Linked DNA regions of Arabidopsis thaliana. The protein of the gene in region 3 interacts with the protein of the main gene of each other region in a pairwise test. Each region holds a gene or a part of one and is shown on either strand. Other genes may lie near its edges.

The links.
Region 1: the proteins of FT1 (region 3) and AT4G21060 come close enough for resonance energy transfer, tested with the Arabidopsis thaliana proteins (one study listed by BioGRID).
Region 2: the proteins of FT1 (region 3) and CSLC04 come close enough for resonance energy transfer, tested with the Arabidopsis thaliana proteins (one study listed by BioGRID).

What each region holds. Positions count from the first base shown.
Region 1 is NC_003075.7:11,239,039-11,250,300, forward strand, and holds AT4G21060 (Galactosyltransferase family protein), read left to right. Parts: upstream 1-1,691; coding exon 1,692-1,868; intron 1,869-2,487; exon of another isoform or gene 2,488-2,727; coding exon 2,728-2,806; exon of another isoform or gene 2,807-2,964; coding exon of another isoform or gene 2,965-3,049; coding exon 3,050-3,865; intron 3,866-4,025; coding exon 4,026-4,267; intron 4,268-4,408; coding exon 4,409-4,699; intron 4,700-4,863; coding exon 4,864-4,992; intron 4,993-5,133; coding exon 5,134-5,307; intron 5,308-5,402; coding exon 5,403-5,510; intron 5,511-5,612; coding exon 5,613-5,822; downstream 5,823-11,262. Other genes in the region: DOF4.4 (Dof-type zinc finger domain-containing protein), read left to right, coding at 1-35; AT4G21065 (Tetratricopeptide repeat (TPR)-like superfamily protein), read left to right, coding at 6,938-8,725; BRCA1 (breast cancer susceptibility1), read left to right, coding at 9,136-9,191, 9,319-9,372, 9,464-9,534, 9,627-9,734, 10,029-10,489, 10,793-10,903, 11,004-11,262. UniProt on the Arabidopsis thaliana protein: Possesses hydroxyproline O-galactosyltransferase activity. Transfers galactose from UDP-galactose to hydroxyproline residues in the arabinogalactan proteins (AGPs). Is specific for AGPs containing non-contiguous peptidyl hydroxyproline residues.
Region 2 is NC_003074.8:10,501,513-10,512,397, reverse strand, and holds CSLC04 (Cellulose-synthase-like C4), read right to left. Parts: upstream 6,688-10,885; 5' UTR 6,289-6,687; coding exon 5,653-6,288; intron 5,513-5,652; coding exon 5,204-5,512; intron 4,486-5,203; coding exon 4,081-4,485; intron 4,003-4,080; coding exon 3,331-4,002; 3' UTR 3,133-3,330; downstream 1-3,132. Other genes in the region: AT3G28190 (uncharacterized protein), read right to left, coding at 100-163. UniProt on the Arabidopsis thaliana protein: Beta-1,4-glucan synthase rather involved in the synthesis of the xyloglucan backbone than cellulose. Seems to work simultaneously with xyloglucan 6-xylosyltransferase.
Region 3 is NC_003071.7:964,805-973,957, reverse strand, and holds FT1 (fucosyltransferase 1), read left to right. Parts: upstream 1-1,541; 5' UTR 1,542-1,604; coding exon 1,605-1,881; intron 1,882-2,157; coding exon 2,158-3,557; 3' UTR 3,558-3,713; downstream 3,714-9,153. Other genes in the region: AT2G03240 (EXS (ERD1/XPR1/SYG1) family protein), read left to right, coding at 1-55, 166-265; AT2G03230 (GCK domain-containing protein), read right to left, coding at 583-1,041; FUT2 (fucosyltransferase 2), read left to right, coding at 3,838-4,126, 4,191-5,623; AT2G03200 (Eukaryotic aspartyl protease family protein), read left to right, coding at 6,067-7,452. UniProt on the Arabidopsis thaliana protein: Involved in cell wall biosynthesis. Is both necessary and sufficient for the addition of the terminal fucosyl residue on xyloglucan side chains, but is not involved in the fucosylation of other cell wall components.

The DNA.
Region 1 (11,262 bases), on a different chromosome or scaffold from region 3:
CAAAGCTTCAACCACGCTATGAACATGAATCATAAAGCCAGCAGTAGTGGAAGCATAGGATCTTGAGACACTCAGAAGAACAATATGAGAAACATGTTTGTTTAGGTCTTCTTAACATTCGGAAGTTAATGTTCCAGTCCATCGTTTCTACTTCTTTTTTTTTTATTAGTTTCGTTTATGCATGGTTTATGTTGGGTCTTTTTTTAGTTATAAAAGTTTGCATCTTTGTTTAAGTCCCAAAATATTCAGACATAAGTTGTTTAATTCCCAATTTCTTTGATGCTTGTAATTTTTTTTTTAATCTCGCGAAAGCAAAATTTTAGGCTGATGCCTTGGCAAAAGAGGTCTCCTCGCTTGTATGAACTCAATTCTCTAAATCGAATGAAAACAAGGTTGTCCAAAAAAAAAGAAAGTTGTTTGATCCTTTTTCCTTTTTATATATACAATAAGAACTAGAGATATTTCTCGAACAATCTCAACACGAGTTCGATTTCCGTTGTGAGAATTAATTGATTAAACCTTAGTCTCGATTGTGAAATGTTCAGAATTAAATATTATCAATATTAATTCTCCAAAAGAAATCCTAAAATGTTAGTAGCCAACTATAAAGTAGATATGTGAACCAAAAGAAATTGAGATTATTTATTAAATATATGACGAATCAACAATGATGTAATTAATACTTAGAAATTCGTTGAAATCTATGTTTTAATTAATACAACATTTATAGTCTTTAATGAATTTCTAGATTTTAAAATTTTAATTAATTATTGAAAAATGTGTTTCTTAATAAATAATTTTATTTTATAGGTAATTATGACTATATGGTTAAAGACCTAATAAAAACATAAATGAATAGTTACAACTTGCTCTCTCAGATTTTCGAGAGCCAAAACGGCCACTTTCATAGACAAAATCTTAATGAAATTAAAGAAAATCTGATATAACAAGGACATTGACAAAACGTCCAGATTGTGTTAGTATAGACGTGGATTATCATAAGACCGCCGGTTAATGCAAGGGAAAAAGCTAGATTTTGTCAGTCATCGATTCCGACAGAGATAGAGATGAGGTCTTCCACAAGGAATTTGAAACGTGCTCACTCTTTCCTTTTTATAATAAGCTTTCTTAACTTCATTATCCCTATCGTTTTCAAAAGTTGGCAAATGCATTATCACCATATAGTGAATTAGCTATATGGTTACATGAATTTTTTGAGTGAATTAACTAACCATACTGCATTTCCTTCTAATTTTTGTTTACCTCCGTTTCATTATATACTGTTTTAAAATATTTTTAACTTTTAATTATATCGTTATGAAATACACTTATAAGGGTTTTTTTTTTCTATTGAATAAGCTGAAATAATAACAATAAAAATGATTACGATCGTAAATTTGGTGTAATTTCTATGTAATGCTTTTAAATTTTTGAGACAAAATAAATTGATCGCGACAAAACAAATAAAGACTTACACTACACGTGTCTATACATTAAATAGCAAAAGCTATTGACGGTGCAAAACGTCAAAAACAAATGCCCTACGTCGCGGGTAATTAACAAACTCATCCACATATATATACGAGTTTCGTATCTCAAACATTTCATAAATCAAACCATCATATACCTCTCAAATCATTTCTTTGATTTCTATAAACACTATTCTTGTTAATGACTGACCATAAAAACAAATGGCTACTTCTCGTCTAGCTAGGTTTGTATCAGAGGTTGCTCCACCTCAATTTGTGACGGTTATGAGGAGGCATAGAGCAGCGAAGCAGAAGCTAGACACAATCAAAGAAGAAGAGAATAAAGAAGATTCTTTCAATGGTGGGATGGTGGTGATGATGAAGACATCTCATCAACATGTTTATTCACCTAATTCTTCTTATTCCTCTTCGTCTATTTCGGTTTCTATTTCCGGATCTAGCAGCTCTAAGAATTTTCGAAGCTCTTTTTCTGTCTTCGAAAACTAAGATCTACGTACTAATGTTGTATTTTTTAATGATCGGGTCGATATTTTTGTATGCACCCGTTTATATTATATAGTTCAGACCTTTTTATTTTTATTTAAAAGGTCTGATTAATAATACATGTTATACACTTATACCTTTTGGTTATCGTTTGTAATTTTCGATCGAAACCCCGTTTTAATAAGGATGTGTAGTTTTGAAGATACTTAGTTCGAAATAGTAAAAATGGAATGTTTTGCACATTTTCATAACAAACAAATATGTATGTTTAAAAGTTTTATTTTTATTTAATTATTCATTCCTAACATTTAACAAAATCTTTATAGATAAGAATATGTAATTTTGGAGATAAATAACAGAGAAATCAACGACTTTAAAAACCCTTGATTCGTTGTTCTTAGTGAGACTTTTGACTAAATTTATACACATGTGAATATTGTTAAGAATAGAGAGACCATTTGGTGGTTTTTAAAATTTAAAAAATGAAAAAAGGTTCCTTCCGATTTCTCAATTCATCTCCTGAGTGGGTTTTTCTCCTCTGTTTTATTTCTCTAATAGCCCTAGATTCAAGGAGATAAAACTGCTCAAATCAGGTGGAGATTTGCTCTGCTTCATTGGTTTTTTGTTTTGTTTGAGTTAGTGACTTTATCTATTTCTTCTTCGCCAAAAGACGAGATTTTTAAAACAAATTTCGTCTTTTTCAAATTCTCGTGTCAAATTGAGACATTTGGGTTGCTTTGATTGGATTTCGTAGACTCTATTGATCTTCAGATCGTGTCGAGATTTAGCTGCTATTGTGGGGTTTAGAATCCTTCTCTTTACCGGATTCTCAGGTTATAAATCTCCTTTACTTCTTTCAATGAAGTTGTTCGATGAATTGGCTACATTTTAGGTACTCCAGGTGCAGTTTTGTGGCACTAATTCGTCTTGTGAATCAACAAGTCGAGTGATTTTGATTGTGGAAGGTAGTAATTTTTAGTTGACCCTCACAATGAAAAGAGTAAAAAGCGAATCTTTTAGAGGAGTTTATAGTTCTAGGAGGTTCAAGTTGTCACATTTCTTACTAGCTATAGCAGGGTTTTACTTGGTTTTCTTAGCTTTTAAGTTCCCACATTTCATTGAGATGGTTGCTATGTTGAGTGGTGATACTGGTTTAGATGGGGCATTAAGTGATACTAGTTTAGATGTTAGTTTAAGCGGATCGTTACGTAATGACATGTTGAATAGGAAGCTAGAAGATGAAGATCATCAAAGTGGGCCTTCTACTACTCAGAAGGTGTCACCAGAAGAGAAGATTAATGGATCTAAACAGATTCAGCCACTTCTGTTTCGGTATGGTCGAATATCAGGAGAGGTCATGAGACGTAGGAATAGGACTATTCATATGTCACCTTTTGAAAGAATGGCAGATGAGGCTTGGATACTTGGATCCAAGGCTTGGGAAGATGTTGATAAGTTTGAGGTTGATAAGATCAACGAGAGTGCTTCTATATTCGAAGGAAAGGTGGAGTCATGTCCTTCTCAGATCTCAATGAATGGAGATGACTTGAATAAAGCCAATAGGATCATGTTGCTTCCCTGTGGTCTTGCTGCAGGATCTTCTATTACAATTCTTGGAACTCCACAGTATGCTCATAAAGAATCTGTTCCTCAGCGTTCGAGATTGACAAGAAGCTATGGAATGGTTTTGGTTTCACAATTTATGGTTGAGTTGCAAGGGCTGAAGACAGGGGACGGTGAATACCCCCCTAAGATTCTTCATTTGAACCCTAGGATCAAAGGTGATTGGAATCACCGACCAGTCATTGAACACAATACATGTTATAGGATGCAGTGGGGGGTTGCTCAAAGATGTGATGGTACTCCATCCAAGAAGGACGCAGACGTGCTTGGTAAGATTTTGAGCATCCATCATAAACTGTTGTTAGTTGCCGGAATGTAGCAAGTCCATGCTCAGAAGTCTAAGTTTGAATTACCTTAGCTTCTTTTTTATTGCTGTGTAGTTATGTTTCTTTTTGTTTTCTCTTCATCTAAGTAAATGTACTTTTCCAGTTGACGGATTCCGAAGATGTGAAAAGTGGACGCAGAATGACATAATTGACATGGTGGACTCAAAGGAATCAAAGACAACATCATGGTTCAAACGGTTTATAGGACGTGAACAAAAACCAGAAGTCACTTGGTCATTCCCTTTTGCGGAAGGCAAGGTCTTTGTCCTAACTTTGCGAGCTGGAATTGATGGTTTCCATATTAATGTTGGTGGAAGACATGTGTCTTCATTCCCTTATCGACCGGTATGTGATATCAGATGAGCATTCTACTTGTATATGGCTTTGGTCTCAGCACTCAATAGTATCATTTGTTCAAACCAAGAGGATTCATCTCGTCCATGTCTGATAACTTTGTAAAATATTTTGTGATGTCTGGCCTCTCAGGGATTTACCATAGAAGATGCCACAGGGCTGGCAGTTACAGGAGATGTTGATATTCATTCTATTCATGCTACTTCTCTTTCAACATCTCATCCGAGTTTCTCACCGCAGAAAGCTATAGAGTTTTCTTCAGAATGGAAAGCTCCTCCATTACCTGGCACTCCTTTTCGCCTTTTCATGGGTGTTCTCTCTGCAACTAACCATTTTTCAGAGCGCATGGCAGTGAGAAAGACATGGATGCAACATCCTTCTATTAAATCTTCAGATGTAGTAGCCCGATTCTTTGTTGCACTTGTAAGTTCTTACAATCTTTCCTTATTTTAAAGCATGATCTTTAAGAAGTTTAATACTGCAGGTCGATTTAATTGAAACATTGAGATGGAGATTTGCTGATTTGAAGTTCTTATGCTTTGGAATACTGAGCAGTTTATGTGTTTTTGTTGATTTGTTTTGTGTAGAATCCAAGAAAGGAAGTTAATGCAATGCTAAAGAAGGAGGCTGAATATTTTGGAGATATTGTGATTCTGCCCTTTATGGATCGATATGAGCTAGTGGTCCTTAAGACAATTGCCATTTGTGAATTTGGGGTATTGATCATTTCTCTCATGACTCCATATCTGTTTAAGTCTTTGAACAATCTCTGATAAGGATCAGTAAATGAACAGTTTCCCTCATTGTAGTTACTTTACACAAATCTAATTATGAGAGTCTGAATATCTTCCATTCAGGTCCAGAATGTGACAGCGCCATATATAATGAAGTGTGACGATGATACCTTCATCAGAGTGGAATCAATTTTGAAACAAATCGATGGAGTCTCTCCAGAAAAATCACTTTATATGGGGAATCTAAATCTTAGACATCGTCCTCTTAGAACTGGCAAGTGGACAGTTACATGGGAGGTACAATGGCTTCTGTTCTTTACCTGCATATAGTCTGTATGATTCAGAAATCAGAAGCAGCCTCAGATACTAAATTTTCTCTTATACTGTAACAGGAGTGGCCAGAAGCTGTGTATCCTCCTTATGCCAATGGACCCGGATACATAATCTCAAGCAACATTGCTAAATATATTGTTTCTCAGAATTCAAGACATAAGCTTAGGGTCTGACCCTTTATCATCGTCTTACGTTCATCTCCATCTTTTACTGTCATGAACATAAGAGTCTCCTAACATTTTCAAACTATTTCGACTTTGTTGTCACAGCTATTCAAGATGGAAGATGTGAGCATGGGATTGTGGGTGGAGCAATTCAACGCCTCTATGCAGCCTGTCGAATACTCACACAGCTGGAAATTTTGCCAATACGGATGCACACTGAACTATTACACTGCACATTATCAATCTCCGAGTCAAATGATGTGCCTGTGGGATAATTTGTTGAAAGGTCGACCACAATGTTGCAATTTCAGATGACCAAAACATAGCACTAGCCGGAAGATATTACAGGATTACAGATTTGGCACCACCTTAACCCATTTTGTAATTTTTCCTCTTTGGTGCTAGTTGCTTACATTTACACATTCAAGATAACAATCTCTTATTGTACATTGATTAGGATTTTGTCTAAGAAAGAGATTTACACTGATATCTAAACAAATTCTTTCAAAACGTCTTTGCCATAACACTATGGGGCTACCAAGAAAGAGAAGCCAAGGTCACTGTATTATACATTTATACTACTCTGCTGGTCTTTAAGTTCTTGAGTCATGTTATCAAGATTTTGGCTTTCATCAAGTCGCATTTCCTTAATCATCTGCATTTCTTGCGCTTCACTGAAAGATTTCCAGCTTTTGCAAGATGGGGAAATGGAAGAGGGCATCCACAAGATCCAGGTAGATGTCACTGAGTTGTTTTCTTCAGTGTTTGCCATAATCCTCATCCGGTAGATGTGACATACCCATAGAGACAACAAGTTTGGTTAGTATACAGATGAATTGATCAGAATCCTGATTGTATAAACAGAACATCTAAACATCAATCTTAAGAGTGTGCAGGTCAATAGCAGAAGCAACTGTAATGAAGAAAACTCGAAAGACGGATTGATTACAACAAAAAAACTGTGGCGCAAAGACTACCAATTTAATCTTTTCATGATCAGATGGATACAGCCAAATGTGCCTTTAGAATTTTGTTTAGCACCATGTTTAATCCGCACGCCAAAACCTTACGGCTGTGAAGTTCTGATACACGGTGCGTGAATCAATCAAGAAGAGAAAAAGAGAGGCATAGAGAAACTTGCACGGTTAAGATATCCAGATGAACTACACAGTGATAAAGTTTCACTTTTTATGTCTTTGAAGAAGCATTATAGATTGATAGAGAATCATCAGAGCTTAACCTGAAACGAACCATCTTTCTCCGGACAGAGAATGGCGGCGGCTGTCTGAAGTTATTTTGAGAAAGTGAAGATTTTTAGGGTTCTGAGAAGTTTCCATCACTTGAAGTCTTTTAAATTTTAATAGTATATGATAATGGAATTGCCTCGATTCTAATGCAATTGACGACAATGCCCACAAGAACAGAGCAAAATGTCTCCATTCTCAGAAACCTCTGTTCTGCTACTTCCCATGGTCGAGAAATGCATAAACCTCTTGCAAACCTACGGCGTTTCATCGATAACGAAACTCAGACAAATCCACGCTTTTTCAATCCGCCATGGAGTCTCAATCTCAGACGCCGAGCTTGGGAAACACCTCATCTTCTACCTTGTTTCTCTTCCTTCTCCACCTCCCATGTCTTACGCTCACAAAGTCTTCTCCAAGATTGAGAAACCCATCAATGTCTTTATTTGGAACACATTGATCAGAGGCTACGCCGAGATTGGTAATTCCATCTCTGCTTTTTCTCTATACCGTGAGATGAGAGTCTCTGGTTTGGTCGAGCCAGATACTCATACTTATCCGTTTCTTATTAAGGCTGTGACGACAATGGCGGATGTTAGATTAGGAGAGACGATTCATTCGGTTGTTATAAGAAGTGGCTTTGGTTCGTTGATCTATGTTCAGAACTCTCTGCTTCATTTATACGCAAATTGTGGAGATGTAGCTAGTGCGTACAAGGTGTTTGATAAAATGCCTGAGAAAGATTTAGTGGCTTGGAACTCTGTGATTAATGGGTTTGCGGAAAACGGTAAACCAGAAGAAGCTTTAGCGCTTTATACTGAGATGAATTCCAAGGGTATCAAGCCTGATGGGTTCACAATTGTTAGCTTGTTGTCTGCTTGTGCAAAGATTGGTGCTTTGACATTGGGTAAGAGAGTTCATGTCTATATGATCAAAGTAGGTTTGACACGAAACTTGCATTCCAGCAATGTGCTCTTGGACTTGTATGCGAGATGTGGAAGAGTGGAAGAAGCCAAAACACTTTTCGATGAAATGGTGGACAAGAACAGTGTCTCGTGGACTTCGTTGATAGTCGGTTTAGCTGTTAATGGTTTTGGGAAAGAAGCCATTGAGCTTTTCAAGTATATGGAATCAACGGAGGGATTGTTACCATGTGAGATCACGTTTGTTGGGATATTATACGCTTGTAGCCATTGCGGGATGGTGAAGGAAGGTTTTGAGTATTTCAGGAGAATGAGAGAGGAGTATAAGATTGAACCTAGGATCGAGCATTTTGGTTGTATGGTCGATTTGTTAGCTAGAGCTGGACAAGTGAAGAAAGCATATGAATACATCAAGAGTATGCCGATGCAGCCTAATGTTGTAATCTGGAGAACATTGTTAGGAGCTTGTACTGTTCATGGTGATTCAGATTTAGCAGAGTTTGCTAGAATCCAGATCTTACAACTAGAACCAAACCACAGCGGCGATTATGTTCTCTTGTCGAATATGTACGCATCCGAGCAGCGTTGGTCCGATGTGCAAAAGATACGGAAACAAATGTTAAGAGACGGTGTGAAAAAAGTCCCCGGTCACAGCTTAGTAGAAGTAGGAAACAGAGTTCATGAGTTTCTTATGGGTGATAAGTCTCACCCACAAAGCGATGCTATTTACGCTAAGCTGAAAGAAATGACTGGTAGATTGAGATCAGAAGGTTACGTTCCACAAATTTCTAATGTCTATGTAGATGTTGAAGAGGAAGAGAAGGAGAATGCTGTGGTTTATCACAGTGAGAAGATTGCTATTGCATTTATGTTAATTAGTACACCAGAAAGATCACCGATTACAGTCGTGAAGAATCTTAGAGTATGTGCAGATTGTCACTTAGCAATCAAACTTGTGTCAAAGGTTTATAACCGAGAGATTGTAGTCAGAGATCGTAGCAGGTTTCACCATTTTAAAAATGGTTCTTGTTCTTGCCAAGATTACTGGTAGTCTGGTAATGCAGAAAATAAAATTATTGTTTCATCGCAGATCGTTCAAATTCTACGGACAATCTTCGTTAATTAAAGTCTTCTAGGGGAAATTTGTAAAATTTTAAAGTATATATGTGGGTAAATTTTGCATAGATAAAAGTAATGGGTTCAAATCTTGCAACTAAAAAACTTATAGGGGCAAAACGAAAATTGAGTGAAATGAGATTATACCGCGTGTTTTCATGGCGGGATTGGAAATATTTTGAAGTAGATGAAAATTTGGCGCTTTTTATTTAGTCTGTAAAGCTTTCAAGGGAAGCCTCTTTGAAGGACACGCTTCGTCATCTATCTATCTATATACCCAAAGAGTCGCTTTGTTCCTGATTCATCAGATTGATTCGTTTCGTTTTCTCTGAGTGAAGATCGAAAATGGCGGACACTAGTCACCTGGAGAGGATGGGAAGAGAACTCAAGTGCCCTATTTGGTAAATCGCGTCTCTCTTTGCTCAATTTTGTGACGAGCATAAACCCTGATTTCGTATTGTCTGACTAATGAATCTCGTTTAACTGCCTTGGTAACAATTTTAATTTGTTTTTTTTTGTTATTGGCAGCTTGAGTCTATATAATTCTGCAGTTTCACTTTCGTGTAACCATGTATTTTGCAAGTAAGTACCTTTCCTTAGTTTGTTCTTTCTTCGTATTCTCATTTCATCAATCTTTAAAAGTAATGAACACATGGTCTTCTCTTGATTTCAGTGCGTGTATAGTGAAATCTATGAAAATGGATGCTACTTGTCCTGTTTGTAAAATCCCTTACCATCGTAGAGGTACTTTCTCTTGCTCTTTATTGATCTCAGAGTTCAGCTTTATCTGTTGTTAAACCTAAGTTTGCAGTTTGATGATTATGTTAATATGTTAGAGATTCGAGGTGCTCCACATATGGATAGCTTGGTGAGCATTTACAAGAACATGGAAGATGCTTCTGGGATTAAATTATTCGTTAGCCAGAATAATCCGTCACCATCAGGTACTTAAAATTAGGACCAATGCTTTAACATTTTGGTTGGCTTGAACGAAACAAAGGCAGTGATAGACTCGTTGCAAGTTCATTTTAAGCGTAGTAACTGGATTTTAATCATTTCACTTGAAATTGAACTGTCTCTGAATTCAATTGAATGGTCTAAAAAGTGGAATTTTGTAGTAAGAAAACCCTAAAAATGCCGATTAAGTTCCCACATGAATGAAGAGAATGCTCGGATTTTACCTGAATGAAGAGATATGTATTTCTTTCTAACTTGTGTTCTGTGATATGCGTCTACAGATAAAGAAAAGCAAGTAAGAGATGCTTCCGTTGAAAAGGCAAGTGATAAGAATCGTCAGGGATCTAGGAAGGGCCGAGCATCCAAGAGGAACGAGTATGGGAAAACCAAGGAAATAGATGTAGATGCACCTGGGCCTATTGTTATGAAACCTTCATCCCAAACCAAGAAGAGGGTGCAGCTGCTCCAGAATCTGTCTGCTGAAAGTTTAACTAAACCTACTGAGTCTGTTGAAACAGCTGAAAAACCCAAGGACTACACTGAAAACACTGTGATTCGTTTGGATGAGCATCCATCTCTGAATAAAGAAGGAAATCTTTCACCCTTCTTTTGGTTGAGAGATGAAGATGATGGGGAGAACTCAAGTCAGCGTACAGAAAGTGATCAACTTTTAGGGACTACACCAGTTAATGTTCCCTCTTTCAGCGATTTGATGGACTCAGATCATGAGAGCCCATCGAAGGTCCATACTCAAAAACCTCAATAGCCTTTTTAGTGCTATCTTTCAGGATTCATATTGCATTATATTGTTCTGTAGTATTGATACATTCTACACTAGTTTATGATAGAAATGTGTTTGATAAATGTTAGTTATGCGGTGGAGGTTATCTTTGATTTAGATTGAATACTGCGAGTTAAAAGGTCTTTGACACATTTATTACTCATAAAAGTCATACTCAGTTACATGGAATTCCCTCATTCTATCCAATATCCTAAAAAAGTGTCGGATCCTTTGATCTTACTTTTTTTCCGATGAATGTTTCAGGAAGACGAGCAACAAAAGCCCAATCCAGGTGACATGTTTGATAGCGAAATGTTTGAATGGACTCAGAGGCCTTGTTCTCCGGAGATTCTACCTAGTCCTGTGAAGGCCAAGGTAAAGGCTGTTCTTCACTCTGGTACAGCAAGGTCTTTTTGTTTTCTATGATAGTGTCATCAAGTGTGTTGAAATGAACTCAAATTTCATCGATTTGCAGGTCCTAGGTAGAGATGAGATTGATCTTACTCAAAAGAAGCTACCTAAAGTTAAAGTTGCATCATCCAAATGTAAAAACCGCAAAGCAGGAAGTGCAAGAAATACAGTTGCTAGACGAAGCATTGGGGTTTCACAAGAGGACAACATGGAATCATCTGCAGCAGCAACCATTAGTGAGCAACAAGATAGTCGTGGGACTTCTGGCACAATTATCAGGAATGATGTGAATACTGATGAAAATGTGAAAGCTAAAAGAGCTA
Region 2 (10,885 bases), on a different chromosome or scaffold from region 3:
CAATAACACACTGATCAGGCTTAATTTCCAAAAGACTAAAACAGTACAAATACAATCATAAACTATTCAATGACCCGGAGATCCTTTATAGCGACTTACAAGTGTAGAATCCAAGACCAAATATGAATACTGATGTTTTCCCCATATAGCTCCAGATTCCCATAATATTCTTGATGAACTGACCTAGAATCAAAATCGAACAGAAAGCATCGGACAGAGATAATAACAAAACAAAGAGAGAAACGGTGTTGACTCTAGACAGAAAACTGAGCATACCTAGAAATGCTGTACAAGATTGACGATTTGTCTTCGGTTAGAATTGTAAGAACACAAGCAATGTTTATAATCTTGTTCCTCTTGGCCAAACGGCTGAATATATACACAGATACGATAGTAGGGGTTTTTGCTTCCAGAGCAAGTAAAAAATAAAGACAACAAAGGGAAAATTTCCAAAAAAAAAAATCTTTCTAATCATCTAATGAATAGACTAAATTCCCAAATTTGTAAGAAATTGTCAAAAAAATAAAGAATCACTTTAACTTGCCCTTGTTAAAAACAGATGTTAAAAGTTAAAGCAAACAAAACAATATGTAATTCAATAGTCTAAAAACCCTAGATTTCTCTAAATTTCTTATTTCTCTTAACTAGATATTAACCCGCGGTATACCGCGGGCCTATATTTTCATTAAAAAAAAAATAATTGAATATTTTTTAGGATGATTTTTAATAAATTTATGCTATTGTTTGATTGAAATGTATAATTCACCGCGAGACAAAATTTTATAACTCAAATTTTAAAGTTTTAAGTTGTATTTGTTTATTTTGTTAAATGTTTAATATTGTATAATTGTATTTTGATTGTTGTTTCTTGGATTTCACACTTAGTACACCATCCCATATTAATATCGAATCAAACCCGTCAATTCTAGGATTTCACCCGTGGTAGTATTTAATTGTATAATAATAACTTGATTGTCATTCTAGGATTTCACTCCTAGTTCTATCGCAAAGTATAATCAATCCAAACCATTCAATTCTAAAATTTCACCCGTAGTACACCATCCCATATTAATATCGAATCAAGCCCGTCAATTCTAGGATTTCACCCGTGGTAGTATTTAATTGTATAATTATATTTTAATTGTCATTCTAGGATTTCACTCCTAATTCTATCGCAAATTATTATCAACATAAACCAGTCAATTCTAAAATATCACCCGTAGTACACCATCCCATATTAATATCGATTCAAACCCGTCAATTCTAGGATTTCACCCGTGGTAGTACTGCGAGAGAAATCTTATAAAAGAATCGAAATGTGATTTTAAAAAATTAAAGTTTTAAGTTTTTTTTTAATATTGTTAATTTTGTTTAGTGTTTAAGATTATATAATTATATTATGATTGTTAATTATAGGTTTTTTCCGTAGCATACCATCCCATGTTATAATCCACTCAAACTCGTCACACCATATAACCCCGTCCCGTGAAATTAAACACAAATTTGTCATTTTATTATAAATTTCAAATATTTATAAAATTAGAAACTTCAAAAAAGATTAATATTGACCCAAACTTCATCATTGAATTTTGAGTGTTATATCTAAGATTTCTCTTGCAGTATATCGTCCCATATTAATATCTTTTATATTGTTTAAATTTCTTGTAAAACTTAATTTTTAATTTTTTGAAACTTTTTAAAGTTTCAATTCTTTAAAATAAATAACCCTAGTAAACAAACCATTTTAATTTTGGACACCTCATAAATCAAGTTTCATGCTCATTCGTAATCGAAATCATTTTGGTCCTTTTTATAGTATGGCTCTGAACCATTGTCCAATTTTTTTAAGCGATGTGGGACATTGTACAATCTTAATTATTATCCACCCAAACCCATCCTACCATACAACCCAGTCCCGTGAAATTAAACAATTTTGTCATTTTCTTATTAATTTCAATATTATAAAATTTGAAACTTACAAAAAATACAATATCGACCTTGATTATATTTAAGTTTTTTCCTGTAATATATCGTCTCGTATTAATATATTATATATATATTTATCATGTTTAAATTTTTTGTAAAATTCAATTTATAATTTTTAAAACTTTATAAGTTTTAAAATTATAAATATTTAAAGCATTTTTTAAAGATAGACTTTATAAAAAGTTTTTAAAATTATAATATTTAACTTTTGATAAAGTTATAATATTTATAATTTCTTGAAACATTTTAAAGTTTCAAATCTTTAAAATAAAAAACCCGAGTAAATCGGATAACTATTTTAATTTTGGACGCCTGATAAATCAAGTTTCCTGCTCATTCGTAATCAGAATCATTTTGGTCCTTTTATAATATGGGTCTGAACCATTGTACAATTTTTCTAAGCGATGTGGGACATTGTACACATATTATTTCTTCATAGGTTGAATAATATATGTCCGTTTTAAAAATTTGAATTACATCATATGCAGAAAAAAATATAATATTTTATTAACTATATATATTTTATATAAATTCAAAATAAATAAAGTATAAGATCAAATAAAAGTGAAAGAAGAATTATATATTTATGTTTAAATTAGGTAGAAATATTTTAGGAAAATAGTTAAAGTAAATAACAAATATGGTTAGTTTAGAGATATTGTTTATATTAAATTTGGTAATTAAATCATTAATTTTTGTTTTTAATTATTAGTTTTTAGGTAACTTTTCCAAAAATTAATGTTATCCAAGATCAGAACAGAATTAAACATGTTATCCAAGATCCGAACAGAGTTAAACCGGGTTATACCCACCCATTTGAATTAATTGTTGAATTATGGCTCAAATCTTCAACATTATCTTCAAAAACGTCTACAAAAATGTATATATAGATAACTAATCTGATCTCTATCTACACTTCTTTTGAGTATTTTTCCGAGACAAATTAAACTATGACTAGACAAATTATCATTTGTAATCTTTCCACTAATGAGAATAGTTTGTAGTTCCATTCATTCTGTCCACAAATGCTATGGTAATCAAATCAAAGTTGAGAAGACAAAAATATTTTCTATTAGAGGTAATGTGATTGAGTAATTGTGATTGAAATACTGTTGAATATTTATCCAAACAAAACATCTAAGAGCTATGATTTTTTAAAGTTAAGCCAAAATCATATAACAAATTCGTTTCAATTCATTTATCTGAAACTGGACATTATAAGTTCTTGAAAATTATGTATAAAACCCACATATAAAAAGGGAAAAGAATTTAAAAAACAAACAAAAAAATAGTGAATATAAACGGTATTTTTTTCCTTGTTCTCTGTCTTGGTTTTGTGTGTGTCTAGCTGATCTGTTCTCCGATCAAATCCAACCCTACAACCAAGAAAGACAGTCCCTGAAACAACAAAAAGTAGAAGTGAAGACCGTGCGCCGATAGAAAGCTCCTTGCAGCTGCGGTTAGCAGCAAGAACGCAAGCCCGAGCTCTTTCTTGAACACCATGTTCGTCTTCTTCTTGTTCTTCGGCCTCATTAGCCCTCCAAGGCTCTTCTTCACGGTTTCTTGCCCTACAAGATTTGTCTCTTGCTCCTTAAGTTTGCTCAGAAGCTCCAAACCTGACTCCGAGTTTCTCCTATGCAACTTCTCTTCCTTTTCAGCAAACGCTAGCAAATCGGACTCCGATGATCTCCCGGTTTTCTTCGTCACAACCCACTCGTAAGCCGATCCAAACTGAAACAGCCCGGAGATCATGGCGTTGAACTTGGTTATTGACATTGTGTTTTCGAAAAGAAGGTAAGGGACTAAGAAAGGGAAAGATTTAGGTGACGGGAGAATGTTGAGAAGCGAAATGAAGATAGGAACATAGCAGATGATCCACAACGGAAGCTCGGCTTCGGGTATGAACATTGTCAATGGAAGTATAATGCAAAAGAGTGTGAATGAGTAAAATGGTAGAATAAGCTTCCTTAGAAGAAAGAAAAGGAAGATCAAATTCGCCTTCTTCCAAACCGATATCTACAAACACAAAAACAAACAATGAGTATATGTAATGATGTTTAACTACTATCACTAGTTGTAGAAATAAACTTTTACCTTTGATTTGATAATTGAAGGAAGGCATAACCGGAACAGCTGCATAGGACCGGAATGCCAACGATGTTGTTGCTTCTTGTAAGCTTCATAAGACTCTGGCAACTCGCAAGTGACTTCAACATCATTAAGGTAAATAAACTTCCAGCCGTTGAGATGCGCTCTAACCGCGATATCCATATCTTCCACGGTGGTTCTCTCGAGCCATCCGCCGGATTCTTCCAATGCCTTGATCCTCCATACTCCAGCGGTTCCATTGAATCCGAAGAAATTGAGAAACACACCGTTCACTTGTTGTTCTACTTCGAAGTGGAAACATAAGTTTATGTTTTGTAGCCTCGTGAGGAGATTCTCATCTTTGTTCACAAATGACCACCTTGCTTGGACCAACCCTAGCTCTGGATTACCCTGTGCAAACAAACAACACAACACTCGTAAGAATCTTGATATTCAAAAATGTTTGCATAAATGTAAACTTCCACATGAATATACTTTTACATTTTAACAAAATCTATTGACTAGTCTACTTAAAAATTCCGGTCTCAGTCATCTTGAGTTCGACTCCAACAACCCACATGAAAAATAAGATATGCTCTTTAGGTGGGGTACATAAAAATAAAATAATAGAATTTCGATTTTTCACAAAACAATAACTTATAAAACAATTATTATTATAATATGTAAATGTAAAAACAAAGGAATAATTGAAACCCGGAATCAAACAGAATCAAGATTAGCTTCAACTAGATTGAATTTGAAGACTTGTCATGTTAGAAAAATCAACCAAAGAAGTCATGAGTTTTGTAATTTCATATTTGTCGGTTACTTCGATTTCATACATAACAAATTACCAAATTGGATTTTCCTAACATAAAACCAAAAATACAAAAAACAATATAAAAATTTGTCGGTTACTTAGAACATGATCCACCGAAAAATAGATAAAACCAGCAAAGACAACTGTCGGTGATGAGTATAATCAAAAAAATATTTTCTATCAAAAAAGTGTAAAAAAGAAACAAATCTTTTTCCAGTGAATTTCTCTAAAACATTCATCGTAAATTACGAAACGTCAAGAAAGAAGTTTCCTTTTATAAGTTTGGGAATAAAGAGATTGTGTTCTTACCTTGAAATGAGGAACAGTCTTCTTGAGGAAATCAGGATTTGGTGTGAAATCTGCGTCGAAGATAGTCACAAACTCGTAATCTTTAACGTAATCACAAGTCATGGCTGATTTCAAATTGCCAGCTTTGTAACCAGTTCTGATCAACCTATGCCTGTAAATTATGTTTACGCCTTTTTCGGCCCAAACCGATACTTCTTCTTTGATCAAAAGCTGTAAATTTGGATCGTCTGAATCATCTAATACTTGAATTAAGATCCTATCTTTTGGCCAATCAAGTTGTGAAGCTGCTCCTATTGATTGTTCATACACCTAGAAGAAAACAAAACATAACAATTATACTATGTAAGAGAAAACAGAACATAAAACAGAATAAAAACAGAGTAAAAACAGAGCAACACAGAGTAAAACCAAAGTGAAAACAGAGTAAAAACAGAGTGTTTATAGTTTACCTCTCGTTCGTTGCACATTGGGATCTGAATAAGGACCATTGGGAAACTGGAGGGGTCTTCTAAATCGATAGATTCTTCGGTGAGCTTAGGTTCGATCTTTTTAAATTTGATCCAAAAGCAACCGAGACAGAGGACTAACCGATCAAGAGACTGAATCAAAAAGAGTACAGTGCAGAATCTGGAGAGACTGATGACAAGAGGAGCGATGTAATCGGATCGAAACGAGAGCCAAGCCATGTACGACCATTCGACAAGCCCGTAAACCTCCCAAGACGGTCGGTTAATGAGATCAAGATTCCATTTCTTGAAATGTGCAACGATTTCTATGGACAAGGCAATAATGGAGATGACAAGACAAGCTTTGATGAATCTGTACATTTGTTTTCCTCTGCTTTTAGGATCTTCTTCTTCGTTAATGTTCTTCGCGGAGAACGCGATTCGCTTTTTAACCGAAGAGACTAGCCACGAGAGACACGAGATGAGTCTATGAGCTTTGAGAAGAAGGAACCATGAGAATTGTTTTGGACTGATGGATTTACGTTTGTCGGGGAATGAGGATGGATCTGAGCCGTTGATCTCTAGTAAAGAGAAGTTGTCTGGCTTCTCCATTGTCACTGCTACTGAATTTGGAGCCATGAATGATAAAGAAACAGAGAAGGGTGAGAAGAATAAAGAAAAGGTATTTGTGTATTTTGGTACTATGAAATGTTTGTCATTATAAAGAAGTGTAGAAGAATCGTCACTGTTTCATTAAATTTTCCATAAAAACAGGATCGTTTGTTTATGTTACACAGACAAAACAGTGTTCTGATTAGATCAGAATGTGAGATACTTTGGGTTCAGCTGTGTAACTGAAACTTGTGATTGAGAGAGAGAAAGAAAGAGAGACGAGGATCATGTGCTGAAGTGAACCAACTAAGTAAATAAAGAGGAGAGGAGAAGAAGAAGAAGAAGAAGAGAGTTCTCCTTTCTTTGAATTTTCCTCTTTTGTTTTTGTAAAGGAAGATTTTATTTAATTATTTTCTTTGTTTGAAAAGTCCAATTTTTATTAGTGGGATCTATTTCCAGCGTGCATAACTAAAGAACAAATTATATTTATTTATGACAAAAAAAGAAAATTTGATTTCTTACTATATGATCAATTTACTATTTTATTTTAGATTCTATAACAAATGATTCAAATGATAACTAATTTGTAAATCCCGTGAATTTTATTTTAATATTTTTTTATCAATCAATCTTTATTTAGAGTTCAGAATCCCGTGAAAATTATTAAAGTAAACATACTCGGAAGTTATGGTTACGTGTTTTTTTTATTAATTTTCAGAAATTACTAATTTATGTAGTTAATTTAGAGGCATTTTTTTTGATATATTGTATAGACAATAAAAGTTTATCAAGTACTAATCTAGTATTTAAAGAAGGCTAATGAAGAAGGCTAACGCATATAATCAAAGATTAGTTGGGTTTTCTTTCATATCATTTTTTTATATTAGTTAACGTGAAAATTTTAATTTGATGTTAAATACATTTTATCTTATATGTTAGTAGTTTGGAATCATTTTTTTTTGCCAGTCTTCTAAGTAAATTAAAAAATAGTAACCGATTTTTTTGACCAAAATCAATCCTAATGGTTTTAGCCTTTTAGGTGGAACGATTTGGTTTAAAGTTACTTTGTTAAGCAAATCCGCGTCTAGTGATTTGATTAAGTAGGAGAGAGACTGCTGTTTATATTATTTTGGGGAAATTTACATCTTTATAATTATACCCATAAAATGAAAATACTTTACTTAAAAAAAGCTATTGGCTTATGGATCTTACGCGATATGTCCAGTCATAAAACTGCGTTTATACATGCATGTGTGTGTATTAAAGAAAAACAAAATGAATGAGAAGAAAAACACAAAGAAAAAAAAGAGATGATTCCAAGAAAAGGCCAAAAATCAATTTGTATGATTGGTAAGGAATTTGGAGGATGACAACTTGGTCCAGCGATGACCAGATTAAACTTATAAAAATGTAATTAGATCAACTTTACTAAATTATAATATTACTTTAACTCAAAGTAATGGACTATGTTGTCGCTTCACTGTCTTCCAACTTTTTTTATTTGATCTTGTTGATTCAAAGTGTTAAATGAATTATCCAGTTACTGTAACCCTTTGATTTGGATAATTTTTCATTTCCAAGATAAATTTTCACTTATTCACAAACATTTAGCTTGTGATTTATCATCGATGATCAACGGAGTACAAGAGATAATAGAGCATGTTAGAAGTCCCACCTCAACTCTATGGCAGATTAGACAAATGTCATGGGTTTATTGTTAATTTTAAAAAAATTCTTAATGATAAAAGGTTTAATATTATTTTACTAAAAGATTTTAGATTTTTGTTGATTTTGCTAGAAGCTCAACGATATACTGCATGTTATTGTTAGATGGGTTCGATTATGTCATGCTTGTGTCACAAGACGTTGCAAAGTAAATCAAATCAAATCTATTTCACTTATATATATAATCAAAAATATGGATCTCATTTTCACAATTATCATATTTTTTTATAGACATACTGATATATATATTGGTTCTCTCTGGTCAAAAAGTTTGTTGGATGCAGGATTAAATTAGAACAGTATTTTTGAAAAGAAATTACAACAGTAATATATTTGATAGATATCGACAGTGTAACAACATGTAAAATGTGAGTAAACTATAATCACGATATATGTTTTATGTTTTAACTATTAACCCAAAACTATATGAATACAAGCTGTGTAGTAAAATTCCATAACAAAAAGATTTAATATTTTCAAGTCTAAGAAAAAGACAATAACCGTAACCGGCGGTGAGAGAAGAAAATCACATGGGAAGTTTCTATTTTACGAACATAAAATATTATTATATTAAAATATATATTCTATAATATCTTATATCACAACATTATTATTATCCTTTTTATTTTTGACGGCAGCTATTAATTAATCTGAAATAGATGGTGGATAAATGTTGAATAACCCATTAGACTTAAGAAGAGAATATATATGATGATTATTACACTGTACAAGACAGCTATACAAGTTATCAGGCCCTAGTGTTTTACCACTTTGTTTTTTTATTAAGTTGATTTTGGTCGCTTATGACATACTTATGATGCTTTTGTGATTAGGTGTTATATTTTGACCAGTTTTTATTAGCGGTTGATCTAAAACGTGTTTGAGCTGGTAAACTGTAAATGTAATAGTTCATCAATCTGATTTTGAATATCTAAAACATATTTTCTCTTGCACCATAATTATAACATTACAAACAAGACTAGGAGTTACAGATTTATAGCATTACTAAAGCTACTTATTCATATCTGTTTTTATCAAACAAATTTTATGAATAATCTCTCCTTTTTTTTGTTGATGATTTTGAGTTTTCTTGCTGATGGGGATTCCTCCCACTAAGCATTTATTAGGTTTTAATTTCTTAATTGCGTGACCTACAAACAAATTTTCGAATTGTATTTGTGTTATGTTATAGAATTAGTTACGAGAACCATATGTATAATTTATATATATGTCATTAATAGAGGCACATGCTCTTTCATCAGCACAGTCACACTGAAGTAAGGTCTACCACATGAGACGGCCAAGTTTGTATCTTTTTGTTCTCAATCATATTTTCAAATATATATATATATATATATATATATATCACTTATTAATTAATGAATATATTTTTCAATAATTCAATAAACAATATAGTGAATCTTCTAAGATTTTTCAGATGCAATCGGTGAGGTTTTGTATTTAACTCATTAAATTATTATTCTTCATCGTAAAAACAATTTTGTTTATGCTTGATTGGTCAATATCATCAATGAGACAATATTTTAACTGCTTAGAAGTCAAATGATAGTCTTTTTATCTATTTTTATTCATACACAAGGTACACACACACATATGGAAAGTCTTGAACATCTCTATGAACCCCTATGGAATGGCTAGATCTTGTTTTTCGAATGACTTGTATATAGTTTCCATTACATTTTAAAAATCTTCAAAAACTTCTTAATGTTAGAAGTTTTCCCAAAAAGTAGTGGGATCCGAAACAAGTGACTTAGAGCCAGTATGTCCCTTTTAGTCTTAATTGGGACTTGGATAATAAATCATGAATACCATGCCAGATAAATATGTGAGCTAGGTAGTAAAATGTAGACAATTCAGAAAAACATTCAAATCACTTTTTGATCAACGTTAAAATAGTCTCTTATGGATATTGAAATCTTTTTTTATTGTATTTATTTGTCATGATTCTAAAAGTAGAAAATAAAAACCGGCAAAACAGAAATAACTAGTAATTTTGGAGCTAAAAGGAACATATGGGTCATTCAGAATTCATGTAGCTGTATGCGAGTGTGTCCTAGCAACCAAGCAAATGCAATTTTTAGGAGATATTGAAGAGATAAACCAAAGTGAACATGGGACATGTCTTCAACTCTTAAGCCAATGTTTTTAATTTTTATGAATTTTATTTGGCATTGACACATGTGAGATTGTACTATACACATGTGGTATGGCCTCTCTGGCCATGATTGTATAATAATAATGTGTACATACATTAAAAAAATTGATTTCACATCATCTAGTTGATTGAGTTTTGATTCTGATAATTGGGCCTATAGATTTCATAATAAAATCTCCAGGGTTCTCATAATCGAGCAACTATATCATTATAATTGGATCTGCATTTATGGTTAGATTTGCAATTTAATCATCATACTTAATCAATGATATATATATTTGATTGAGTAAATTTCATGTTAGATCAAAGATGGTTTAGTATTAACGGTCATCTAGTGTCAAATAAAATATAAAACTTTTGTTAAACTTTGGTCAAACTGAATTCTTAAAAACCGTAGATGATAGTTGGTAAAAGATTACAAGAAGGGTTTCTCATCAACGTAATGTCCAAGTAAATAGAAGCCTAATGCTCTTGTGGATCCGGTAGACCATGTTGATTGACATTCAACATTAGCTTGTATTACTTGTTTTTTAATCTTTTTTCTTGGCAAGTTTACATTTATCTGGTTAAGCTTTTTTGTAAAACCTAAACTTCATTCATATGATATTCACATTCCTATCAAAAACAAATTCCAAGGAAAATAGTGATTAGAAACTACATCACACCCTCAAACATAGATTGAGAACCGACAGACTATTTGCTATTGCAACCACGAATTTCACT
Region 3 (9,153 bases):
TTGCTGTTGTTGCCAGTCTAGAGATTATCCGCCGTGGGATATGGAATTTCTTCAGGTGAGAAAACATAAGTTACTGCAACTTTTCTTCACCATGTATTAGCGCTATTTACTGTCACACAACATATGATATAACTTTCTTGGGGATTTGTTTATGCAAAAAAACAGGTTAGAGAATGAGCATTTGAACAATGTTGGGAAGTATCGAGCATTTAAGACGGTTCCATTACCGTTTAACTACGACGAGGATGACGATAAAGGCAACTAGTTTTCTCGGTTTCTAGTCTTAGATTCTGTAAAGACTGATTCATCCACAACGAGTAGGAGGAAGATGGACTAGACTAAAGCTGGTTCATTGAGATCAAGGAGATGTTTCACTCAGGATAACGGATATTCGCTAGATTAGCCATAGTAATTAGGGTCACTGATTTGCACTTAAAATTTGTTTCATTGAGAGAAACATGAAATTCATGGGCATCAACAAAGCAATGACTTAAAAACCAAATTCTCCCACAATAACAAAAGTAATAATCAGAAACATTCAAAGTATCAGAATAACTTAACCAAATAAATTCTAATAATCGCTCACTTTCCCTTGGTTTCTTCTTCTTCTTCCTTCTTCTTCGCCGCAGCGGCTGCCTCCTCCCCTTGTTCCAACTCCTTTAACGACTGAGTCCGCATCTCTTTCTGCATTGCTAGAAACGGTCCGTAGTAATCGACGTTAGTATACATACATGTAATCAGCTTCAATCTAGCATCTCGACAGTTCGTGCCGTCATCTTTCACTTCCCTACAATGATCAACTTCTATGAATGCATCTTTGCAATCACCTTTTTTCAAATACCGACTAAGCCAACACTCTTCACAATCTTCTTCCTCTTTCTCCTTGTTAGTCTCACTCAAATCATCATCAGAACTTACTGTTTTGGATTTGTTCGGATCTTCCGAAGCAGCAGATGAATCTCCTCCTTCATGATCCAAAGGGTCGTTACCGCTTTTTGGTTTGCTCTCAGAATTCTCAGCATTCGCATTCATAGAAGACATGGTTGTTTGATTTTAAAAGACGAAGTTAGGTTTGAGAGTCAAGAACACAAGTGGGAAGCTTAAAACCCCTCCTCTTAAACCCTTTAGTTATGTCGGCTTTTAAGTTTTAGGAAATAGTTTCGTTAAAACCTATTCTTGGAGAACAAGTGGTGGTATTCTTGGAGAACAATTTTTCTTTTATGGTATTTTAAGATTTTTTTAATTTTAAAAATGGTATTTTAAGATATTTTCTCTTTAATTATCTTATTACTTAAAATTATATACATTATTTTATAAAATTTTGACATTTGTAATTTTTTAAAGATTACTGTAGTAAAAATTTGACAGTCCTAATTAGAAGTAATTAAATTTTAACATGGTTTACTTTTTCTAATATTCACTTGTTACAATAGGGGTCAAAATATAACATTACAAAGTTTATGGTGTAAAAAGTAATAATGTAGAAGTGAAGATATTCAATTGAAATATAATTTTATTACAATTAAACCATGTCGTGGAGACATGTTCTGAAATAAAGTTATGAAGTCGGTGAGTGACTTTAGAGTCTCCCTCAAGAGCAATCAATGGATCAGAATTCGTACAGGAGAAGATCGTCTCCGATCAGAACCACTACCGGCGGTTCAAAGTCCGTTAATTTCTCCGAACTACTTCAAATGAAGTATCTCAGCTCCGGTACGATGAAGCTCACGAGAACCTTCACTACTTGCTTGATAGTCTTCTCTGTACTAGTAGCATTCTCAATGATCTTTCACCAACACCCATCTGATTCAAATCGGATTATGGGTTTCGCCGAAGCTAGAGTTCTCGACGCCGGAGTTTTCCCAAATGTTACTAACATCAGTATGTGTTCTTCCAAGTCAAAGTTTTGAGCTTTATTACTTTAGATCTCGTTCTTTACACTACGCATTTGCCTCTGTATGTCCATAGCTCTTGGTCGATTTCAATTTGAGATCTATACTCATAAAAATTGAGTCTTTGTCAGTCACAAGACTACTATTTTTGGTTTGATGTTGTTTTGGTGAAAAAGTGCTCTTTTGTTTTGGTCTCAGCTTAGACTGTTACATTCGTTTTTTCCGAGTTTTTTAGATTTTGTTCTGATTCTGTTTTGTTTTGTAGATTCTGATAAGCTTCTCGGAGGGCTACTTGCTTCTGGTTTTGATGAAGATTCTTGCCTTAGTAGGTACCAATCAGTTCATTACCGTAAACCTTCACCTTACAAGCCATCTTCTTATCTCATCTCTAAGCTTAGAAACTACGAAAAGCTTCACAAGCGATGTGGTCCGGGTACTGAATCTTACAAGAAAGCTCTAAAACAACTTGATCAAGAACATATTGATGGTGATGGTGAATGCAAATATGTTGTGTGGATTTCTTTTAGCGGCTTAGGGAACAGGATACTTTCTCTAGCCTCGGTTTTTCTTTACGCGCTTTTAACGGATAGAGTCTTGCTTGTTGACCGAGGGAAAGACATGGATGATCTCTTTTGCGAGCCGTTTCTCGGTATGTCGTGGTTGCTACCTTTAGATTTCCCTATGACTGATCAGTTTGATGGATTAAATCAAGAATCATCTCGTTGTTATGGATATATGGTGAAGAATCAGGTGATTGATACTGAGGGAACTTTGTCTCATCTTTATCTTCATCTTGTTCATGATTATGGAGATCATGATAAGATGTTCTTCTGTGAAGGAGACCAAACATTCATCGGGAAAGTCCCTTGGTTGATTGTTAAAACAGACAATTACTTTGTTCCATCTCTGTGGTTAATACCGGGTTTCGATGATGAACTAAACAAGCTATTCCCACAGAAAGCGACTGTCTTTCATCACTTAGGTAGGTATCTTTTTCACCCAACTAACCAAGTATGGGGCTTAGTCACTAGATACTACGAAGCTTACTTATCGCATGCGGATGAGAAGATTGGGATTCAAGTAAGAGTTTTCGATGAAGACCCGGGTCCATTTCAGCATGTGATGGATCAGATTTCATCTTGTACTCAAAAAGAGAAACTTCTACCTGAAGTAGACACACTAGTGGAGAGATCTCGCCATGTTAATACCCCCAAACACAAAGCCGTGCTTGTCACATCTTTGAACGCGGGTTACGCGGAGAACTTAAAGAGTATGTATTGGGAATATCCGACATCAACTGGAGAAATCATCGGTGTTCATCAGCCGAGCCAAGAAGGTTATCAGCAGACCGAAAAAAAGATGCATAATGGCAAAGCTCTTGCGGAAATGTATCTTTTGAGTTTGACAGATAATCTTGTGACAAGTGCTTGGTCTACATTTGGATATGTAGCTCAAGGTCTTGGAGGTTTAAAGCCTTGGATACTCTATAGACCCGAAAACCGTACAACTCCCGATCCTTCGTGTGGTCGGGCTATGTCGATGGAGCCTTGTTTCCACTCGCCTCCATTCTATGATTGTAAAGCGAAAACGGGTATTGACACGGGAACACTAGTTCCTCATGTGAGACATTGTGAGGATATCAGCTGGGGACTTAAGCTAGTATGATTTTTTGTGTGCCTTACTCTGTTTTTGATTATTTGATGTATCATGTAACTTCTTAAATTAGCTTTAATAAAGTCAATTTTTGTGCTTTTGACATTTTCTCTTAAAATAGATAAAACAAGAGCATAAAGGTTGAGTTTTTATTACCAAAGTCTCAGTTTTTTTTTGATGATCTTTTGCTTATTCTCTTACTCTTCCTATGTAACAAATGAGGAAAGTAAAAGGGAGAGATCAGATTTGATTTCTTTTTCCATTTTTGTTTAGATCTTAGGGTTTCTGAATAATGTATCCCTCCAGAAGAAGATTATCTCTTTCCAGAGCCATTGATCAACAACCGGAAGATCAATCAGGAGTCCAAGAAAAGAGTTGCAGATTCTTAGGAGCAATGAGAATCACAGAGATCTTAGCTTTGTTCATGGTTTTAGTCCCTGTCTCGCTAGTAATCGTAGCCATGTTTGGATATGATCAAGGAAATGGCTTTGTACAAGCATCTAGATTCATAACAATGGAACCAAATGTGACATCCTCATCAGATGATTCATCACTAGTGCAGAGAGATCAAGAACAAAAAGGTAAACTTACTTTCTTCTTTTTGTTTTGAAATGTTTCTAAATTTTTCTTTGAATGTTTCATCAGATTCTGTAGATATGTCTCTGCTTGGAGGGCTACTTGTATCTGGTTTCAAGAAAGAGTCTTGCTTGAGTAGATACCAATCTTACCTCTACCGTAAAGCTTCACCGTATAAACCTTCGTTGCATCTACTTTCGAAGCTTAGAGCTTACGAAGAGCTTCATAAAAGATGTGGACCGGGAACAAGACAGTATACCAATGCAGAAAGATTGCTTAAACAGAAACAAACAGGTGAGATGGAATCACAAGGATGCAAGTATGTTGTTTGGATGTCGTTTAGCGGATTAGGAAACAGGATTATCAGTATTGCTTCTGTGTTTCTGTATGCAATGTTGACAGATAGAGTCTTGCTTGTTGAAGGAGGGGAACAGTTCGCGGATTTATTCTGCGAACCGTTCCTCGATACCACTTGGTTACTACCGAAAGATTTCACCTTAGCTAGTCAGTTCAGTGGCTTTGGTCAAAACTCAGCTCACTGCCATGGAGATATGCTGAAGAGGAAACTGATTAATGAATCCTCTGTTTCGTCTCTGTCTCATCTCTATCTTCATCTAGCTCATGACTACAATGAGCACGACAAAATGTTCTTCTGTGAAGAAGATCAAAATCTCTTAAAGAATGTTCCTTGGTTGATCATGAGGACAAACAACTTCTTTGCACCGTCTCTTTTCTTGATTTCTTCTTTCGAAGAAGAGCTCGGTATGATGTTTCCCGAGAAAGGAACGGTTTTTCACCATTTAGGTCGTTACCTTTTCCATCCTTCAAATCAAGTCTGGGGACTAATCACAAGATACTATCAAGCTTACTTAGCCAAAGCTGATGAAAGGATTGGTCTTCAAATAAGAGTCTTTGATGAGAAATCCGGCGTATCTCCTCGAGTCACAAAGCAAATCATTTCGTGTGTTCAAAACGAGAATCTGTTACCGAGACTAAGCAAAGGTGAAGAACAATACAAGCAGCCATCAGAAGAAGAGTTGAAACTCAAATCTGTCTTGGTCACCTCTTTAACAACAGGATACTTTGAGATCTTGAAAACAATGTATTGGGAAAATCCAACTGTAACAAGAGATGTGATTGGAATACATCAGCCAAGTCATGAAGGACATCAACAAACAGAGAAGCTAATGCATAACAGGAAAGCTTGGGCAGAGATGTACTTACTCAGCTTAACGGATAAGTTGGTTATTAGTGCTTGGTCTACATTTGGTTATGTAGCTCAAGGACTTGGAGGATTAAGAGCTTGGATTCTGTATAAACAAGAGAATCAAACCAACCCAAATCCACCTTGCGGTAGAGCTATGTCACCAGATCCTTGTTTCCATGCTCCTCCTTACTATGATTGCAAAGCAAAGAAAGGAACTGACACTGGTAATGTTGTCCCGCATGTTAGACATTGTGAAGATATTAGCTGGGGACTTAAGCTTGTTGACAACTTTTAGATAATCAACATTGTAATGTTTCCTTTTTTTCTGAATGTTTCAGTTGATATTAAAAGATAGAAGAACCAAGCCATTTCCATTATTGTCTTTCACTAATGACTTCTTTTACTTAACCCTGTAATAGGCTCTGTTTTAGTGCGCTTAATCACTATTAGGCCCATATAATAATTTTCTTGTGTTTTTGTTTTCCCAACAGTAAGTGAGAAAAAGAGAAACTCAAAAGTTTTCTCAACTAACAACGGAAGAATAGGGCTTTGCTTGTTTGAGTGAATCTCTTAAACAGTGTCTCCTCATTTTAAGTAGGGAAGTTACATCAATGTCTATCTTCTTACACGCCTAACTTTGTTCTGTAACTCTTTTCTTTTTGTGTCCTAAAAACTCTTTATAAACACTAATCTACACTCCCTTAATCTCTCATCTATCCACTCACACACACACAAACCATGGCTTCTTCTTCTTCTTCTTCTTTATTATTTCCTTTCTTTCTTATTCTTTTTTCATGTTTAATCTCGGTTTCATCGTCAAGAAGATCATTAATCGACCGTACTCTTCCGAAAAACCTTCCGAGATCCGGTTTTCGATTGAGTCTTCGACATGTGGATTCCGGTAAAAACCTCACCAAGATCCAAAAGATTCAGAGAGGGATTAACCGTGGATTCCATAGATTAAACAGATTAGGAGCTGTAGCTGTTTTAGCTGTAGCCTCTAAGCCTGATGATACTAATAACATTAAAGCACCTACTCATGGAGGAAGCGGTGAGTTTCTTATGGAGTTGTCTATTGGAAACCCGGCGGTTAAATACTCTGCTATTGTTGATACCGGAAGTGACCTTATTTGGACTCAATGCAAGCCTTGCACTGAATGTTTTGATCAACCAACTCCGATTTTTGACCCGGAGAAATCTTCCTCTTACTCGAAAGTAGGATGCTCTTCTGGTCTTTGTAACGCATTGCCTCGATCAAACTGTAACGAAGATAAAGATGCTTGTGAGTATTTGTATACTTATGGAGATTACTCATCTACAAGAGGGCTCTTGGCCACGGAAACGTTCACTTTCGAGGACGAGAACTCGATTTCTGGTATCGGGTTTGGGTGTGGGGTTGAGAACGAAGGCGACGGGTTCTCTCAAGGGTCAGGTCTTGTAGGTCTTGGTCGCGGACCGCTCTCGCTTATTTCTCAGCTCAAAGAGACTAAGTTTTCTTATTGCTTGACCTCGATTGAGGATAGTGAAGCATCTAGCTCGTTGTTTATTGGATCTTTAGCCTCGGGTATCGTCAACAAAACAGGTGCAAGTTTAGATGGTGAAGTCACCAAAACGATGTCTTTGCTACGAAATCCAGATCAGCCTTCGTTCTATTACCTTGAGTTACAAGGCATCACCGTTGGAGCAAAACGCCTTTCTGTTGAAAAGTCTACTTTTGAACTAGCCGAAGATGGAACCGGAGGTATGATCATAGACTCAGGCACGACCATCACGTATCTCGAGGAGACCGCGTTTAAAGTGTTGAAAGAGGAGTTTACTTCTCGGATGAGTTTACCAGTAGATGACTCTGGATCCACGGGACTTGACTTGTGCTTCAAGTTACCTGATGCTGCCAAGAATATTGCTGTTCCTAAGATGATTTTTCATTTTAAAGGTGCTGATTTGGAGCTTCCCGGAGAGAACTACATGGTGGCGGATTCAAGCACCGGCGTTTTGTGTTTGGCCATGGGAAGTTCTAATGGGATGTCTATTTTCGGAAATGTTCAACAGCAGAATTTTAATGTACTTCATGATCTTGAGAAAGAAACGGTGTCGTTTGTTCCCACTGAATGTGGAAAATTGTAGATTTTTAATTTGTTTTTTTTTTCTTTTATTATAAATGAAATTTATACTTTGTGACAATGTCAAGTGCTTCAATAGTTTTATCCGAGTAAATTATATATCCGACTACATAGAAAATATTGGTTTACTGTTTTGCTGGTATGAAAAAACAGAAGTCTCTTTGCCACAAAAAGGAAAAAAAATCATTTTAATTTGCATATTGATGAACCTAACTAGACTAAAAATTAAGTAATTGTATATGTTTCCATGTGCCCGTGAAACCACAAAGATAATTATCATGTGCTTGGATTTTTTTGCCGCATCATGTGTGAGTTAAAGCTGGAAAAACTTCTAAATAAGGTAACATTTTGTAACAAAAAGTAGTCTATTTTTGATTATTAAAATCTATATAAATTGTTAACCATAGATTGGAGAATCTTCTAATTAATATATATATATTAATATTTACGTAACAAGAGTGGTAATTTGTTTTGGAAGGTCTTGTTCCACCATGAACAACTTTGATATAGACATTGATATGATGATTCAATATTAGAATTATTGACAATAATGAACACTAATTATTATTAAAATTATTAAACTTGGAAGCAAAGTAAAGGGGTTGGCTCAACTTCCAAGCAACTCGAGAGAGAAAGAGATGAAATGCATGCGTCATGCAATTTTTATCAATTTGGAATTATAAACACGTCGCCTAACAAACATAATTAAGCCCTAACCATCTCACCTATTTTTTTCTTTCTTAAATCAAATTGTTTGAAAACCATGAAATATATTGATGTATCTTATTATCTTATACTGATTCACTAAATTTTAACATATGTTTTTAGAAGGAAAAAAGATATATTGTATTTTAGATAGTATTTTAGATCTGTTCCTTCTACGATTGTATATTTCTCTCTCATATAGAACTTTAGAGCATATGTGGATTTGGTGTCGAATGTTCTTTGGTCGATATCTCGGAACATGAAAAGGATTAGACTAAAATGTGATTGCTTGAATTAGCTTTTAGCCTTTGACAATTGACACTCACGGGATGTTTAGTATATTATGGGCTTTAAAGGGCCCGTAATAATTTATATATTCTTGCTAAATCGACCCATTGTGAAGCCTCTCTTAAAACTAATTTATAAATGTAGATAATGAAAATTATAGTTCAATGCATGCATACATAGCCACATATCCCATATGGATTATTATTATTTTATTTTATTTTAATTTTGGGTGCAAATCCCATATGTATTAATTTACATTAAATGTAATTAAATGCTTTCATACTTTTCACAAATAACTTTCTATGATAGAAAAATACCATTACATTATTTAGAAAATATGAAATGATTTAATTTATTACATTTAATGTAAAATAATACATATGCGATATGTGTAGGTATGCATTGAATTATCATTTCATTATGAATTTTCACTACGTGGCTAAAAGAAATCGTAAATGTTTAATTTTTTAACAGAGAGAAGCCCTAGGGCACATGTATTTTGATAAATTTCCAGTGCCCAAGTCTTCATCAAACGGTGGCGATGTACGCTATATTTTATACTGTTCCGCTGGCGAAAGAATTCAGAATCGCCAGAGGCTTTTTGGTTGGAAAGAATTAATTAACATTGGCATATATAAGTAAATATTGTTAAACATTATAACATGATGAAATACAAAAGGAAACCACAAACCATGAATTCAAAGAAACGAAT